Linked DNA regions of Notamacropus eugenii. The protein of the gene in region 1 purifies or fractionates together with the protein of each later gene. This does not show direct contact. Links are inferred from orthologs where the notes say so. Each region holds a gene or a part of one and is shown on either strand. Other genes may lie near its edges.

What was found.
Region 2: the proteins of STK25 (region 1) and PPP2R1B purify together in Homo sapiens (affinity purification with mass spectrometry; 3 studies listed by BioGRID and IntAct, with this or other methods). This does not show direct contact. The link is inferred for Notamacropus eugenii from reciprocal best matches to the Homo sapiens genes STK25 and PPP2R1B.
Region 3: the proteins of STK25 (region 1) and CAB39 purify together in Homo sapiens (co-immunoprecipitation; 3 studies listed by BioGRID and IntAct, counting the BioPlex papers as one, with this or other methods). This does not show direct contact. The link is inferred for Notamacropus eugenii from reciprocal best matches to the Homo sapiens genes STK25 and CAB39.

What each region holds. Positions count from the first base shown.
Region 1 is NC_092877.1:378,498,446-378,502,188, forward strand, and holds the start of STK25 (serine/threonine-protein kinase 25), read right to left. Parts: upstream 2,630-3,743; 5' UTR 2,321-2,629; intron 1,835-2,320; 5' UTR 1,787-1,834; coding exon 1,757-1,786; intron 1-1,756. UniProt on the Homo sapiens protein: Oxidant stress-activated serine/threonine kinase that may play a role in the response to environmental stress.
Region 2 is NC_092876.1:142,472,140-142,475,882, forward strand, and holds the start of PPP2R1B (serine/threonine-protein phosphatase 2A 65 kDa regulatory subunit A beta isoform), read left to right. Parts: upstream 1-894; 5' UTR 895-942; coding exon 943-1,056; intron 1,057-2,088; coding exon 2,089-2,179; intron 2,180-2,623; coding exon 2,624-2,724; intron 2,725-3,743. UniProt on the Homo sapiens protein: The PR65 subunit of protein phosphatase 2A serves as a scaffolding molecule to coordinate the assembly of the catalytic subunit and a variable regulatory B subunit.
Region 3 is NC_092873.1:59,171,737-59,175,479, forward strand, and holds the start of CAB39 (calcium-binding protein 39), read left to right. Parts: upstream 1-1,386; 5' UTR 1,387-1,560; intron 1,561-2,064; exon of another isoform or gene 2,065-2,249; intron 2,250-3,743. UniProt on the Homo sapiens protein: Component of a complex that binds and activates STK11/LKB1. In the complex, required to stabilize the interaction between CAB39/MO25 (CAB39/MO25alpha or CAB39L/MO25beta) and STK11/LKB1.

The DNA.
Region 1 (3,743 bases):
CTAGCCCACTGAGGACACTCTGGGCTTCCTTGCTCTTCTAAAGGGCCTGTCATCATGAACTGCGGGGTGTGAGGGGTGGGCCACTCCCCAGGCTCCTGGTTCTACATGCCTTCACCTGAAGCATCAGTTGCACTGTAATTCTGTCTGGAACAGACAGTGTGTGGAAGGAGTTTCTGAGGTGCCCACACCTGGTAGCTGCTCAAGGCTCTTGAGGGCCCAGCCCCACCTGAGGCAGTGCTAGGTCTACTCCTGGGCCCTCAGCCCTGAGCAGTACCCAGAATTCAAGCTGCCAAAGGGACTAACGAGTGGGGAGCGCTTCTTTCTGCCTCCTCTGCTCACAGACCCCAACACTCTTCACGGCTGGAGCCCCATTCACACGTATGAGGGGATAAGTTCCACAGCGCACCACTGCTCTGCAGACGAATCCAAGATGTCAGGTCAGCACTCCCTCCAAGGCCCCACCTGCAGTCGCAGCTGGCATTATCACCAGGCCAGGCCCAGTGACATCTGTCCTTTCATTTCAGCGCCACACAATTACCCTAGGGGACTACAAGGCTTCTCTTAACCTCTCTGTACCTGTGGGCACAATCATTCCACCCTATTTTTTCTTCTCTTAAAAGGACTCAGCAACTCTTTCTAAACTCACAGTTTTAAAAATAATATGTTTAACTAAAAAAGTGTCCTCCAATTGACAGTCAAAATGCATTTCTACCTATCTCCAACGACTACCTCCACTGACCTTCTTTGCTCTCACCTAAGTCAACCTCCTTGTATGATCAGTTTTGTTCAGACAAAGCACAAACATGATCTGGGCGCTAGTCGCAGGGCAGCCAAAAGCAAAGGGCAGCTTTTGTCCCACCTCCAGAGAAGGGTGGCTCCCCAGCCGAGGGCCCCTTCCCAGAAGTTTCTGCAGCAGAAATGCTCAAGCAGCTCACTTGAACCATACACACCGAGAAAGCACAAGGGGATAGTCACGCATGGCTCACAAAAGAATCTCCCCAAATGTCAAGGTGCTGTCCCTGCTCTGAGGAGCCACAGGGAAGAAGACTGGGACCCTTGAGAATCGCTACCTGGCCCCAGACAGGGGGATGGCTGGCCCACTCAGCAGCGCCCTAGGACTGAGAACCCCAGGCTCCTGGCATTCCCCACACTTAGCCACGGTCCTTTGGTGTGCTAGTCCCCCCTCCCCAGACGCGGGTTCAATTTCTGCCGGGGTCCCCTGGACGCCAACAGAGCCCACCCCAAGTTTGATTCCTTCCCACCAGGTAGCAGTCGCGTAAAAGATGAGATTGCACCTGATAACCACTCTCCGAAGGTGTCCTGCCCACTGGCACGCCTCTCTTCGTGGCGCTCAGGAGAGATGGACCCCGCGGATGCCCTTTACTGACCAGGGGAATTCTAAACTTGCGGGTGGCACCGTGGCGTGGGGGAGGCGAGGGGCGAGGGGTCCGGCGGGCAGTCTGCCCTGTTTCGGGTCGGGTAGCGGCGTGCTGCGGTCCGCGATCCTGCCCCGCAACCCTGCCCACGATCCCGCCCGCGATCCTGCCCCGCAACCCTGCCCACAATCCCGCCCGCGATCCCGCCCGCCCGCGATCCTGCCCCACGATCCCGCCCGCGATCCTGCCCCGCAACCCTGCCCAGGATCCCGCCCGCAATCCCGCCTGCCCGAGATCCTGCCCCACGATCCTGCCCCGCAACCCTGCCCACGATCCTGCCCCACGATCTCGCCAGCGATCCCACCCCGCCCAGCCCTTACCTGCTGAGCGAAGTCCCTCAGGTGAGCCATGTCTCCCGGCCAACCGCCGCCAGCCCGGTCCAATCCGCGGCTCGTCACCTGTGATCCGCGCAGACCAAGACACGGGGTTTCGGGGTCCGAGGGGCGCACAGGGCGGCCGGCCCGGCCCGGCCCGGCCCAGATGGGGGAGGTCCGGCACCTCCCCCTCCCCCGGACTCCAAGCCTGGGCCCCCCCACCTCTCAGGGCTGCCCCTCCCCCAGTCCTGCTGCACCCCAGAATCGGAACCAGCAGCACAGACAGCTGGGCCCCCCCAACCTACTGACGGAAAGGTGACCTTGGGCTGGTCCCGCCCCCTCCCCTCCAGACCAGGCTAGACTCCCTGGGGCGCGTAGCCCCCTCCTTTCCCTCCCTCCCGGCCCCTCCCCCACACCTGGTCTCCCCTCCCCCCCTCCCTGCACCAACGCCCGCCTCCCTCTCTCCGGCCCTTCCCCCACCCCCACCCGGCACCGCTCTCTCCCCCAACCCCCCTCCTACCCCGCCCCCAGCCCTTTCCCATCCCCCCTCTGGCTCCTCCCTCCCCGTACCTGGACTGAGGCGCCCCCGGGGGGCCCCAGGCCTCAGCGCGCCCCGCCTCCGGGGGTCTCCATGACCGCCCTGGGCCTCGCCCGCAGCGCCTGACAGTGACGGGAGCAGCTGCGGCCCGACCCCAGACGCGGCTCCGGCTCGGGCTCGGCTCGGGTTCGGCTCGGGCTCGGCTCGGACTCGGGCTCCGGCTCCGGTCCGGCTCCCGCGGCGTCTGGAGATAGAGAAAGCCAGGGCGGCGGAGGAGCGAGGAGGGGGTGGGGGCAGAGATGGGAGAGCCACTGCGCAGTCGCGGGCGTCCCGTTGCCTTCTGGGAGTTGTAGTCCCGCTTCCCGAAGCCCTGCTCCTGATGCTGGGGGAGGGGGCACTCCGGCTCCCTGACGTCCCTTGGGAAATGGGCGGGGCCTCCGGGCAGGGCCTCAGGCGGCAGCGGCGATAAAGGCTGGTTGGGCTTCGGCATTTCCTCGAGGAGCCTCTGGGAGGGGGGCGAGGACTCCAAATCCCAGGAGGCTTAGCGCGGAGGAAGACTGGGGGCGGGGGATGGGAGGAACCGTGGAGCGTGACCCCTGTCAGCCCGCAGAGCTTCTGCCGGGCCCCCAAACCTGGTCCGGTGAGGGGCAGTGAGAGGGAAGGCCTCGGCCCCCGACAGTGCCCTCCGCCCTCCCCCTTCTCCTTTTCTCCATCCCCAGGTCGGTCTTGGGGGGCTTCTGGGCGGCCCCCCAGAGTGGCCGCTGTTTGGGGGCGGGGCTGCTTGCAGGTGGGTCCTGGCACGCCCGTCTCCCCAGGTGCGGCGCCCCCTGGCCAGGGGCGGAGGAGAGCCGGGAGATCCCGGAGCTAGAGCTGGGGGGCCTGGAGCCTGGGGTCCGACCTCGCCCCCTTTCACAGAGGAGGCCCCACGTGACGAGCGCGGTCACCCGTGACCCTCCCCTGGCCCGCGCCCCCCGGCGCGGGGGCCTCCCGGCAGGTGACCCCCAGGGGAGCGGGACCCTCTGCAGTGCTGGGGGCGGAGGGCAGGGGGGAGTCAAGCCTCGAGCCATCGGCTCTCCAGGCCGGGGAGCGGGGACCTCCTGGGGGGACTGAGGGGGACAGCCCCCTGCGGACGCCTCGAGGGGCGGGCCCAGGGCCGGGCTCCGAGCGGGGAGCATGCCCGGGGGTGCAGGAGCGCCGGCCTGAGGAGGAGCAGCCCGGCAGGTAGGAGGAGCAGCCCGGCAGGTAGGAGGAGCAGCCCGGCAGGTAGGAGGAGCAGCCCGGCAGGTAGGAGGAGCAGCCCGGCAGGTAGGAGGAGCATGCCCGGGGGTCCAGGTGCGCCGGCCTGAGGAGGAGCAGCCCGGCAGGTAGGAGGAGCGCCGGGCGGGAGGGTCAGAGAGTCCCAGAAACCTCGCTTGGCAGGAGGAGACTCCAGGAAGAAGGGGGGACATCGGGAGG
Region 2 (3,743 bases), on another chromosome or scaffold:
TCTGACCTTGTGCTGCTTGTACACAGAGGTCATGCCCCGTCCCCCCTCCCGCCCCCGCAGACGACAAGCTCCTGAAGGCAGGGGCTCCGCGAAGGCAGCTCCTTTGGATGGGGGCCTCCAGGAGCACTGGCACTGGTTTTTAGTTTTTATCTGCACCTCCGGCGTTTAACTTCGTGCCTGGCACACGGTAGGTACTTAATATTGTTTCACTTCCGTTGTGGTATCCTTAACACCCAGCGCGGCGTGCGGTACAGAGGAACGTCTTTATATATGTCGGTTTAATTTAATTCAGGAATAAGGGCCGGGGGGAGAAAAGCGTAGAGCAGGCACAATTTCAGGCCCGAGATGGAAAAGGAACACAACCCCAAGGGGGCAGCGAGCTTTTCCCGGCTTGCCCGGGGGCACCGGAATAAATACCGAGTGCAGGGTCCGGCCGGCTCTGCGCCGTCCTCCTCCGGTCACTCCTTGTTTTCCAGCAGTGCACGCTAGCTGTACGGGAGCTGCTGAAGGACGGGCCCTAGGCCGGGCCCTGCTCCCTGGGGTGCCGGGGAGGGGAGGAGGAGCGGAGAACTCACGGAGAAGGGCCTGGCCTGCTGGCTGGGCAAGAGGGAAGGGGCAGCGGGGCCTCCGTCCTCCGGGCCTCGCCGGGCACAGCCCTCGTGAGACCACAAGCGGGCGAGGGCCCTCCTCCGACCCCCTTGTAAAGCTCAGACGCGCTCGTCCGAACCCCTCTGGGCCCGAAGCCCGGGCGTCGAGAGGCATCTTCACGCTCCCGAAGGATCACGAAAGCAGTAAACGGCTCCGACGCACGCGCACGCCGTGTGTGGGTCGCAGCCCGGGGCGACGTGCAAGCGTGTGCGTGCGTGCGTGCGTGCGTGGGGCGGGGCGACGCTCTGAGCAGGAGGCGGCCGCGGCGGTGGCGGTAGCAGCCGGGGGAAGAACATGGCGGGTGCCGCGGGGCCCGGGAGCGGTCCTGGCGCCGCGGGCGGAGACGGAGACGACTCGCTGTACCCCATCGCGGTTTTGATCGACGAGCTCCGGAATGAGGATGTGCAGGTAGTGGGGCCGAAGCGGGCACCTGAGTCCGGGCCGGCGATGGGGAGACGGGGGGAGGTAGGACTGAGGCAGGAAGGCCCAGTGACTGGGGTGGGGGGGTAGCAGCCGGCCTGAGGCCGGGCCAGGTCGGCCAGGAACCCGGGGGAGACCAGAACCTGCCCCAGAGTTACCCCTACACACGCTGGGGCTCAGCCCTGACCCCGCAGAGGTTCTTCCGAGTCTCGGGGCCCAGCCCGGGCTGGGCCCGCGGCTTCCGAGGAAGACGCTTCCCAATTTCTTTGACGCCTCGTGGGGGCTGGTCTGTGGAAACAAACCCCGTCAGCCCCGGGAGAAACTGGGCCGCGTTAGCCCTAGCTTAAGAAGAAAAAAACCCTTTAGTATCAGTGGGGGGGGGGGGGTCGGGATTTCTGATCGGGGTGCTTCCTTCCCCCCTCCCCGCCCCCCAGGGGTTTCCCTTCAGGTCTTGTCCCAGTTCCACCGCGCCCCTAATTTCTCCTCTTCCCCCTACGCTAAGTAAATGCTGGGCCGAGGTTTAATTAACAGGATGCCCAGGGGTCCTTGGAGTTGTAGAGTTGAAATATGTCCAAGGTTTGCACATGGAAAAGCCGGTTGGGTGGAAGGAGGGATGCATGATTAAGCGAAATGAAATGTGTATTTTCAGGTTAAAAAGGAAAATGACAACAATTATCCTCCAGTTTATTCTTGCCCACCACACTCCTGTCAGCATTCTCTTTCCTGTTAAAAATTCTTTCACTTGTCAGGCTTTCTTTCATTTTTATTGTATTTTCCCAAAAAAGTATGACTGCTCAACTTGAGGAATCTTCTCTTGTTTATATGGTTAGGTTAACCTGACTTCTGGAAGCCTTCCATGCTACATCATCTTCTCTGAGAAATCTAAATTAGAAATTTAAATTTTATTTGTCTTCCTTGCCATCACTTGTCCATTTAGCACTTTTCTTTTAGATTTGCACTTTGTCTGCTTTGTACTGATTTGCCCCTTGCATCTCCATATGATTTTTTTTTTTTTGATAGCTAAGACTCAACAGTATTAAGAAGTTATCAACAATTGCTTTAGCTCTTGGAGTAGAGAGAACAAGAACTGAACTGCTGCCATTTCTTACTGGTATGTTAATTCTGTTTTCTTAGAAAGTGTGGGATTTTTAGTTTTTGTAGCATTTGTTTATTGATTTAGCCATTTCATAGGCTACGTTACTAACAGCATTACTGAATAGTCGTGTGAGTAAAGTGGTATAGAAAGACAACACCATCTGCCTTGGTCCAAATCAGAATATAATAATATGGACAGAAATATTACGGACATATTAAGCAAGTAGAAAAAATATTTACATGACACAGGAAAGGAGGTTGAGCAGTTTCCTAACTCAGTTCTGTAGGAGAGATTCTAGGTAGTATCTGTTGAAAGAAGGAAGAGTAGGCTTTCTTACTATTATAATTTGACTATGTTGCCATTTATATGTCTAATTTGTTTCCCCTTGTGTTTCATCTTGAGTGTTCAGCTGTTGGTCCCCTAACTCTGTTTATGAATTCCCCATTGTTGCTATTTTAGATACAATTTATGATGAAGATGAGGTATTATTGGCTCTTGCTGAACAGCTGGGAAATTTCACTGTCCTGGTAGGAGGTCCAGATTTTGCCCACTGTCTCCTGGTGAGTGGTGATGTGTGACCTATTCTCTCTATATTTTCTGAATTTTAAGAGATAAGGATAGGGACTGGACTTTTGATTTCTTTGGTAAAAGGAACTTCTAGATAAGGGAAAACCCCTCTATCAATGTGGGTTAGCATGTTTTATCCTAACTTCTTGTCTTAGAGACTTGCCTAAAGCATTGAGAGGGTAAATAATTTGCTTAAGGAACATAGCCATAATGTGTTAGAGGCAGGCCTTGTACCCAGGCTTTTCTGGTTCCAAGGCCTGCTCTTTCTTTTGTATGCCATGCACTTTCTTCTCTGTGGTTTAAATGCTGTATTATTTGGAGATGTATTGCTGCCACTCCCCCAACCCCCTACCTGCAAAGTTGTACGTACTTTTAGTGAAAGTTTATTCATTATCATGTTGTGCAAAGATGATCACAATTTCAGTCATTGAGAGCATAAACAGTATGTGTTCTATAGACTTAGCAAATTGACCTTCATGGCCAATCTCTTCTCTGTTCTTTGACCAGTCCTTATGGACTTATTTGTAAATCCACAAGATGGGGAACCTGAATTTAATTGTTTCTGAAAAATAGGGATTTCAAGTTCTCTCCTAGGTGTGTCATTTACCCTGGGAAACTTCATTATTTTTTGTTTTTAACACCTCTGTTGTAAAGATTAATAAATATGTATGCTTTTCTTATTCTAATGAATACAATGGCCTATGAGTGAGCTTTCATTGTGGTGTAGGTTTCTCCATATATACATATCAACAGTATTCTTTTCCAAATTGCTTCTTAAATGCCATATGGAGAGGGAGTGGGTTTAGCAAACTATCATAGGATCAGCTAGGTGGCACAGTGGATAGAGTGCCTGGTCTAGCAGAGTTAGGAGGACCTGAGTTTAAATCCAGCCTTAGTCACTTTACTAGTTGTGTGACTCTGGACAAATTATTTAATCCTGTTGGCCTTGGTTTTCTCTTCTTTAAAATGAGCTGGAGAAGAAAATGGCACTCCAATATCTTTGCTAAGAAAA
Region 3 (3,743 bases), on another chromosome or scaffold:
GTCACTTAACCCAGTTTGCCTCAGTTTCCTCATCTGTAAAATGAGCTGGAGAAGGAAATGGCAAACCATTCCAATATCTCGTCGAAGAAAATCCCAAAGTGAGGTCAGTAAGAGTTGGACACCACTGAAAATACTGAACGACGGTAAATGATTGCTCTCACGGTCTCTCTGAATGAAAGAGCTAGGACAGAATCAACATCTCCTTCACATGTTCTCTCAGAAGATGAAAGAGGCAGCCGTGCACTCAAACTCTGCCTCCTCCTAAATCTTCTGCTTTCTTCCCCAAAAGCTCTGAACCGATCACAGTCTTCCCAGAGTTTCTTCCCAAGCCCATTGTCTGGAGTTCTGGGATTGCTGTGCCTTGCAGAATCAAACTTAGAGCTTAGGGGGCCCTAGAACCAGAAGGTGGCCCCCTCATTTTGCAGATGAGGAACTGGGGGCTCCAGCGGCTGTGTATCTAAGGGTACCCTCTCCTAAGTGGCCTTCAAAGCTGGCTCTAAGTCCAGCACCATGGAAGCTCTCCTTGTGGATTGTCGGGTTGGGTCCCACGGGTTGGGTCCCACCCTTCCTGTCCCCAGTGTGGGTTTCCTTGGCAGAGACACTGGAGGGGTTGGTCATTTTCTTCTCTGACTCATTTGACAGATGAGAAAACTGAGGCCAACATGATGAACTGACTTGCCCAGCGTCACCCAGCTTGTTCAGAGGAACCTTCCTGACTCCAGGCTGGGCACTGTACCCGCTGTGCCACCGGCTGTGCCCCTGGCTGTGCCACCGCTGCCCCGTGAAGGGCTTCATCACGAACCACTGAAATGCGCGCTCCTAGAGCAGAGCTGGGATACAAAAGGGCTTCCCTGGGAACAAACCGAATGTAAGCGGCCTGAGGGCAGGGGCTGTTTCACTTTTATCTGCCCGCTCGTGCATCCAGGCTAGCCTTTGCCCCAGCGAGGGGAGAGCACTGAGCGCACGCGCTCTCGCCGGCTCGCTCTCTCGGGCCCTCGCCGGGCTCGGCCTCGGTGGGTCCGCCAAGCCTGTGGGGGCGTCCGAGGCTCCCGGGGCTCCCCGCCCCTCGGTCGGGCGCGCGGCGCTGCGAGCCGACGTCGCAGCGCACGGAGGCTGCGCACTGCGGCTGCGCAGAGCGTGCGCCGGGTCGGGCTGGGGGCGGGGTGCGGGGAGCGTCGAGGCCTGAGAGACCGAGCCGGAGCCGGAGTCGAAGCCCAGTGCCCAGCTCGAGCCCGAGCCCGAGGCCCCTGAGCGCCGCCCGAGCCGAGCCCGAGCCCGCGAGCCGGAGCCCCCGGGGCCGCCCGAGCCCAGTCCGAGCCCGCGAGCCCGCGGGAGGCCGACGACGGAGGGGCCCCGAGCCGCGCCGCGGGCACCGGACGGGCCGCCGCCGCCGCCGCAGCGCTTCGCCCAGGCCGGAGCCGGAGCCGGAGCCGGGGCCGCGGACGGGGCCGGGGACGGCGGCGGGGACGAGGAGGAGGAGGAAAAGGACGAGCCCGAGGAGAGCCCGGCGAGGCCTCCAGGAAGGAGCCGCCCGGCCCGGCCCGGCCCGGCCTTAGTCTGGTGAGTGACCGCCCGTCCCGGGCCGGCCGCCCCCCTCGGCACCCGCCGCCTCTGGGCGGCCCCGACCCCCGCCGAGAAGCCTGAGCAGACCCAGGCCCCGCCGGCCCTGTGCTGACCCGACCCGGCCCGGCCCGCTGGAGGCCTGCGGCCTGGGCGCCTATGGGGGAGGTCAGGGCCGGACCCCGGAGCCCAGGGTGCGGGAGGCTTTGTTGGGGCTGAGAGGGAGACACCCCCAGGGCCGGCGGGGCCCAGGGCGACCCACAGTGACCCAGGGTGACGGGACGTGGAGCCGGACCCCCAGACGAGCTGGCGGGGAGATCATTGGGCGACGAGTCCGGAGCCGGGGTCCGGGGAGTGGTCTTTCCCGAGACCAGGGCCTTCTCCCGCATTTTACCGCCCCCTGACCCACCCCACCCTGGGGCCTTCGCTAGCTTCCTGTTAACGGATCGAGGGCTTGCTGTGTGATCTTTATGGCAGGAAGCGCCCTTCTCTTTTCTTTCTCAGTTCTCTGGATTGAACGATTGTGCACCACAGCCTATGTGATTTCATTTCGCAGCCACCAGTGAGCAGTGAAAGAGGTGGTCTGGGCACTGGAGGTCTCGAAAAGGAGAGGCCAGCTGATCACTTGTCAGGGATGTCCTAGAGATCCTGGACCAGGGGGCCTCTGGTGGCCATCCAGCTTCATTTGGGTCAGTGCTGTCCAACACTTTGTTCATCTGGAGTGTTCTCTACTTCCTGAATGTACCTGATGTGTCTCCCAGGAGAAAGCTGTCTGCTTGAAGACAGACTGGTATTTTTCTGTTGTAACTTTGTATTTGGTGTGGTGTTGGATACAGTGTTTCTCAAGTTAAGGGTGGATCTGTGAAAGAAGAGTGAGAAAAGCCAAGCTTGGTGCTGACATTTTCTCATTTAAATGTAGAAGGAATTCCTCTTTCTTAAATGAAATGCAGCTGGAGCTCACTTTTGATGGGGGTAAATCACCTTGTTGGTTTACTTCTAGATGCAAGTGACTTTGCTCAGACTGAGTTGTTTGAAAGGTGTTTACTGGAGATGTCAAGCTCTTGTGGAATTGCCGGAACGTTTCTGTATAAATATACTCATTTGCTAACTCCTCATTTCTGTTCCTTTTTTACTAAAAGATGTAATTATTCACACAAGAATTGGCCTGTAAGTTTTTGAGTTACTGAGCTATTTGGGCTATTGTGTGGTAGCATTTTTTATCAATTGATGTGTTATTGTTAAGGATATTTTTATCCTGGGATAAAATTTTATATATAAATATAATTTTTGTACAAAGTAGATAACATTTTAAATTGACTTTTATTATAAAGTGATTTGTTTGTAGTTTCATGTTAAAAGTGAAAGTTAATAAAGTTGGTACTTAAGTTTTTCCAGAGCACTTGGTAGATATCTTAACAAATGTACTTAGCTTCTAGACAGTGAGCTTCTTGAAAGGGAGTTTGATTTCCTTTGGTTTTACAAATTCGTGTTAGTAGGTTGTCTTTGAGTTGTTTAGTAATGATTAATAAGTGAAAAAATGATTTTTTGACAGGATCAAGGGGAAATGCCCTTAAAAGCTCCCTGAAATTCTTTGGATTTTAATGTTTATGAAGGCAGGCTGATGTTGACATACATGCACATGTGGCTTGGGAGTAACTTCTCATTTTCCTTATCTGTGAAGATTTGGATTCAAGACCTGTGTCTTGAATTTTTTTTAATTTTGACAACGTAAGGAACATGATTATATTAGTTTATAGGGTGCAAGTTATCAGCTTATCAGCTATGGAATGGACGTCACTGAAGTGTAAAACACCAGTGCAGCTATAAAAACATAGCTTTCTGGGCTAGTGTCATATATTTGTGGACTATGTATTGCAGGTTTTTCCTTTTTAAAGGTGCTTATAAATAGGGCCATCCATATGGATTGAAGTCATGTTAAAATTATCCATACAGTTTTTGTGTCATATATGAAATTTTAAAACTAAAGTGTTTAGAGAATTGTGAAATTTAAAAATTTAAATATTTTAAGTTTAAATATTTTAGCATTTCTGATGAAAATTAAATGATTAAGTACTTGGACAGTGAAACAGATTTGTAGTTTAATTTTTAGGTAGTTCATTTGAGTTCATTATATACATCATCATATCAAACTGCAGTATCATTATTGATATTAAATTATAAAT